Linked DNA regions of Coturnix japonica. The protein of the gene in region 2 interacts with the protein of the main gene of each other region in a biochemical or structural test. Links are inferred from orthologs where the notes say so. Each region holds a gene or a part of one and is shown on either strand. Other genes may lie near its edges.

Region 1 (2,557 bases), on a different chromosome or scaffold from region 2:
CCCCTTGTTTCTTTCCCCTAGTGCAGCTGGGGGGCAGAAGTAGCCCCAACCAAGTAAGGAAATTGAATTTAATTGGAGCAGTTCTGCTTACATTACCTGTCATCACTGCACCAACACAGATGGGGCATTTGCAGACACTGAAAACCGAAGAAATTTGCTCGGATGGGGAACAAAAACTAAGAACAATATGAAGTCAACAGACTCTACAGCGTGAGGAGAGTTACCTGTATCATCAGTGATTTGGGTTGTAAATAAATCCAAGGGAAGTGCAGGCAAACGGGAGACTGTACGCGCTGAAAGCAAGGAGAGAGAAATTTGATTGGGGGGAACAAGGGGGGGAGCAGAGGAGTGCTGGGAAGAAACTGCGACAAACCCCAGTTGTCTGTAGCCAAAGTGATGGGGGAATAAAGGGTGAGCAGGACGTACCTTTGTGCTTTGCTGTGCCAGCCTGACACCTTTGGAACATGTGCACCGTGCAATGCTGAGACAATGGCCAAGGGGATTCTGATACGTTTAACCTGATGAAGAAAAGCAGCTGCACTTTGCATTGCCAGTATTTGGTTCTGAAATACCACACGCCAAAAATGACTACAATAAAAGAACAGGGACCAGCTTTCCATGGATGAGACGTCCATATTTATTGTTCTTCCATGTGCATAGAAAATGGCAGTGAAGGTTTTTGTTTGTTTTTGTATGAAATATGCAGAGAATGGAATGGGAGAGGTGCAGGGATGCTGAGCGGGACGTTGTGCTTCAAAATTATGCTCTTGATTAATTGAGATCTATATTAATTTATATCTTTAAAATTTATAACATTTTCTTGGAATTTATTTTTTTTTTGTGTACGATGTTTCAAATCTCTTTCAGAATGACACACTGCATTACAACTGGATGGCACTTGGAACCAATGTGGCATTTCCATATTTACACCAATGAAAGAAATTTACACGACATAATAGCATACAATCTCCACATTTAGTAATATCAATAAAACAAGGGCATCCATTTTATTTTTTTCTGTACAAACTATCGGAACAAGACTTTTATTCACATAAAAAACAGGCTTCATTTGCTCTGACCTACACACTTTCCAATTCCTTTGACTCAGTCCTCAAACCTTTCATCACATGGCCCACACCCTCACCAGACTACAGAAGCTACAAGTGATAATACCTAACATCTAAACAGAGCAAAGAAACATCCCTTCCAGTTCTTCTCTCTGACAGTTCTTCACTCCAAAAAAAAAATACAAAAAAAAACCCTGCAAAACCTAAAACAAAAAAACCCAAACCAAAGCCAAATGCCCTCCAAAACCCCAACCAAAAGACTTCCTTGTCTCCTCTTTTATTTCACCTTCAGATTTCATAACCGGGACATCAAATGAGGCCACTCCATTTCTTCTCAAGCACGATGAGAAAAGTACTGTTGGTTTTTTTTTTCCCTTTGATGCTACACCCAGGAGTCGGGTGAACCTGGGTACTGTTCTGCCCTATAAGAAGATCGTCTGGTGGAATAAAAGTCTACATAATTTGTGGTTGATTTCAGTCCATACTGCGTCGTGTAGTCTGCGTTAGCAGGAAAGTGAACTCGATCATCAAAGTATGGGTCCTCGTAGCTGTGTGGGGACTGCAGGTACAACCTGTACGCGTCGCAGTTCTTTCTGTTGGTGTCTTCTTGACTGTAGTACAGTTGTTGATGCTGTTTACAACATGAAAGAAAAATAAACTTTTAAGATGTAATTAAACAGAGAAAATGCTTGTTTCTGGAGCTGATATGCATCACACACACAGCTTTCCCTGGGTAGTTAAGTGTAGCTCTTCCAATGACCACAACTGCATGAAACGCCCCGAAGGCTCCAGGTAAAACTAATGCAGGGAAAACCTCTCAGCCTGTCGGCAGGTCACTGCCTGCATCCACTGCAAAGCCAGTAGTAACCCTCAGCTGTGCTTTCAGGGCATGTGTAGAAGGTACAGAACCTGACTGTAGCTACCAAAAGTATCTGCCAAGCCAGAAAAGGGGTCTGGGATCCAACCGTGCTACCAACACGCTGAGATGTGGGTTATCGAAGGAAAACACAGCGGTGAGCTGGCAATGGCTTATGTACTTCTGAGCACTGTACTGCTCAGCCGTGTAGATACTCTCCACAAAACACACCCTGACCGTACAAGGTGTACTACAGCTCTTTAAGGTCCCATTAAAACACTGTAAGCTGAGTCATTTCAGTATAGCTTCAGAACAAAGCTTCAGACTCACCTGTAGCCGTCTGTTCTGCTCTCTGGCTGGTGAGGAATAGGAACTGATATAAATTGGCGACGTTTTGCTGGAACCTGTGAGGAAATAGGTTTTGGCATCATCTTCACTATCTTTTTGTCCCTGTGCTTCTACTTTATCTCAGCAGTAGTTAAGCAGAAACCCCAATGCTTCTTTTCCCCATGCATGTGTCCTGCTGAAAACCTTTATAATGAGGAAATATTGCTCCCTATTTACTGACATCTCTTATTTTGTGACTTGAAGAAGGAAAAGCAAAGTCCGGGAAGTGTGAAATCCCAGTTTAGCT
Region 2 (3,660 bases):
ATATTTAGCAATGACAGCATGGTGGCACCATTCTCCTGAGACCTACCCCACCATATCTGCAGCTGGACAGGTTCAGTAACAGCAAAGACAGGAATTAGTGTTGCATAGAGTGTGCCAAGTTAGTCCCTGATTTTTAAGCTTCCGTGCCTGACTTGGCAAACTGCATGGTAGAGGTGTCAACAACATCTTTGTCTACAAGATCCAAGCATCTACTGGCATTATGACTTCCACTGCCATACTTAACTGACTTAAAAGCTAGGTTGGATATGTCTGCATCAGAGCTTGGCACATCTTCAGGGTGATTTTCTACATTTTATTTCCCAAAGCATGTTAACCATTCTTGTACAAGTCAGCAGCAGTTAACGGATAGTGTCTTTTAAGGAGACAAGGTGCTGCTAGTCAGCTGATGAACAGTACTGAGAAAAACAGAGAATCTCAGTTTCAACTGTTTTCAGAACTCAAAGTATTAGAGCTGATGTCTTTTGCAGATGCTTTTCTCAGACTGACGTGGTTCTCGATGTCTCTTCTACACCCTTATCAAAGCATGGTGCCCCATGACTAGAGCATTGTAAGGTCATTTCTCATGTCAGAAGTGACTCAATAGATACAGGCTTGACAAGAAAAAGGCCAACATTCAGTAGCACCAACTTATAGCTTATTAATGACTGTCCTCATTAGCGCATGCCTACACAGACTTTTGTTCCAAGTTCAGTATAGTTATAATCACACCAACAATTGTAATTCTACACTCACTTGATCTTTCAGTTGTTTGATGGATTGCTGGAGGGTCAGAATCTGGTTAAACAAAGGGCTCTTGAGCGTGTTTCGCAGCACAGACAGGTTCTCGTTATGTTGGACATCTCTTTTCTCACGCAGTTTTGCTTGCAGACGGTCAATGATCTGCAGCACCTGCTGTTTATCTGCACCACAAAGTAGTTATATGTTAGGAATGGAGCATAATTTCTCACCACTTAACAGAGTATTCACTTTCAGACTACATACCTGCAGCAGGGTTTTCAGGCATGTTGGAGAATATCTTTGGAATTACTCAGAATAATCTAGATGAGATAAAAACAACAAACAAATACATGATATCTTTGAGTAGAATGCTTTAAGGTAGAATGTCAATAAATGCAGTAGTAAAATATTAAGTTAACTATAACAAAATTAATTAAAGAACACCACAATTAGCTCTTCAGTACAGCCAGTTGCAGAGCAGCCCAGCACACTCACAAATTTCTCCTTGTTCTGTGTGCTGCTGCTTTTACACTAGAAAAGGAAGAACAACTCTTCCAAAGATGAGGAATAATACACATTATAAAACAAAAGCAACAAATTGGTCAAAGAAATCAACACAGCTATGTTCAACCAAATTATCTGGAATGAGAACATTAAAACTGTGATCTTTTCAAATACACAATACCTAACTCTTTGTATTATTTAGCAGGTACTTCCACTTGTTTTAATTATTTGTGTATCTCACAACAGCTCAGCCCTGCTATGTGGCAATACAGGTGAAATCTTGAAATAAAACAATTCTTCAAGAAGTTCCCATAAAATGATGAGGTCCCCTTTGCTCACAAAACAGCATAGCATCAATGTCCCAAATTGGCTAACCCAATTCCTAATCCAGCATCTTAGTGACAGCTTTGGTGTCAAATAGGTAAGAGAAAACTATGTCCTTCTCCTCCATGTGCTTGCCTTTCTCTTTCCTATATATGAGACAAGCTTTAAAGGAACATGGTGTCCTTTCCCACCCTCTCTGCAACGTGAAAGAGAACAGGTCTGCAGCTGAGGCTGAGGCCTAGAGGACTTTCATTTGCAAGTTATAAAGTTCAGGTGGAGCCTCTCATTCTGAAACCTATCAAAGTAGTTACACCAAAAACACAAGAAACAAGATTTCTTCGCTTAGTACAAGCTCTTCTGAAAGAAGTCAACTGTTTAATAGCACAAATTACATAATTTAGACTATGCCCTGTATATAACAGTGCAACTTCAGAACAATATAAATTTGGAATTATTTGGGGAAAAAAAAAAAATCTATACTGCAAAAAAAGCTCTACATTTACTTTGTTAATCTTGCAATCCAAGAGCGAGTATGGTTGTTTGTGTATTATTGCTCACCCAGCAGAACCTCTGACCCTTTCAGCTCTGATCCTATCCACGCCCCAGCCAAAAATGTCTGGAATTCCAGGAAGACACTGAAATACATAAGAGAATAATAATTAAGCAGATGAAAAAGAAAGAAAAAAAAAAAAAATAGGTGGTAAGTCACAAAGCACAGTTTCAGATTTATGTACACTTTGCTCAATGTAAGCAATTTTGGCTTCTACGAGAATTCCTGCAGAACTCGGTGGACTTGCATGGTTTCCACCTAGGGCCAAGCAAAATGAGTCCCTTCACAAGACTATTAACAGATTTAGGAGGTCATTTCAAATCAAATTCATAGGAGGGGCTGAGGAGGCACACAACTCCTGAAAGACTTTCAGGAATGCATCTGAACTTATGTGAGTTCTGCAGCTTTATTTCCTTTTCTATTTGAAACAAAATAGCACAGCAGCGGCCTTTGATTCTGTGCTGAGATCTGATTCTGAAGTACAGATGAAAATACCATTTCCTTATATACTCCTGAGTCTTCACATAAACCAAGAAGTCCAAACTTCACCTCCTTAGCTAAAAATACTGTGTGAATCTTAAAAAACAGGAATATGAAGGGTTTTTTCCCCTTCATAATCAATGTAACTTCCCCGTTTTCACATCAGCAGTAAAACAATAAAGCAAACCAGCAACAGTGAGATACACAAGAACTCCTATGAGGAAAAGTGACTTGAAACACCTTAATGCCAGTGGTAGGGTGAAGATTAAACCCAGAAAAGAAATGCAGTATGGCAGGAAATAACAACTTGACAACACTGTACCCATCTAACAGCCAAGAAGCCAAAGTATCTTTCATGCATTTTGTCCTCCTTCCCGTCCCATCTGGGCTGGCCTTTATTCATCTGATCCCACAGTGAACTGGAGCAGGGAGTTAAACACCCAACAAGCCCCCACATTTGGTGGGGCCGAGCCTCCTGCCCACCTAGTGCTCAAACAACAGCACATGGGATGGGGCTGGGAACAGGACCACACCTTGCAGCAGCAACTAGCGGTTGCAGTAGCTCAGCTGTGCTGGCAAACTGTACCATGAGAAATAGCCTGCGTCATTCAAAGGCAGCCTCAAAGAGCCGTGCTGACAGTCTCCAAGATTAATCTTTTTTCCATTACAGCGGGTGTAACAATAGCAATTATGGCAACGGGTGCAGATCCAAGGAAGAAAAATTAGAGCAGAAAAATGTATGTAGGATATCTAGGCTCCATCTAACATGCAGAAGTCCCCTGGAGAAGGAGGTGAAAAAAAGAAAACATAAAATCACAAGGAAATACATTAAAGAAAGCATCAGCTTCCTGCTTGGGCTGCCCCAAAGCACTGCTGAGAACCACTGCAGAGCACTTCTCTCCAGCAGATGCTGAAGTGGACCTCAGGTACAGTTAGCAGGAAAGTTCAAGTTTACACAGCACTTTGGGATCCCTCGTGATTAAAGCTGGCCTCTAGTCAGCTTGCAATGCTTTACAGTGATATTTTTCTTTGAGCAATACGTTAAAACCACTCCTAATGTTTCT

Evidence for each region. The genes of interacting proteins can lie anywhere in the genome.
Region 1: the proteins of PATJ (region 2) and PKP4 interact in a test that uses a peptide from one of them, tested with the Homo sapiens proteins (2 studies listed by IntAct, with this or other methods). The link is inferred for Coturnix japonica from reciprocal best matches to the Homo sapiens genes PATJ and PKP4.

The regions. Positions count from the first base shown.
Region 1 is NC_029522.1:33,231,535-33,234,091, reverse strand, and holds the end of PKP4 (plakophilin-4), read right to left. Parts: intron 2,328-2,557; coding exon 2,254-2,327; intron 1,699-2,253; coding exon 1,450-1,698; 3' UTR 614-1,449; downstream 1-613. UniProt on the Homo sapiens protein: Plays a role as a regulator of Rho activity during cytokinesis. May play a role in junctional plaques.
Region 2 is NC_029523.1:24,550,794-24,554,453, reverse strand, and holds part of PATJ (inaD-like protein), read right to left. Parts: intron 2,202-3,660; 5' UTR 2,070-2,201; intron 1,059-2,069; 5' UTR 1,025-1,058; coding exon 1,003-1,024; intron 921-1,002; coding exon 754-920; intron 1-753.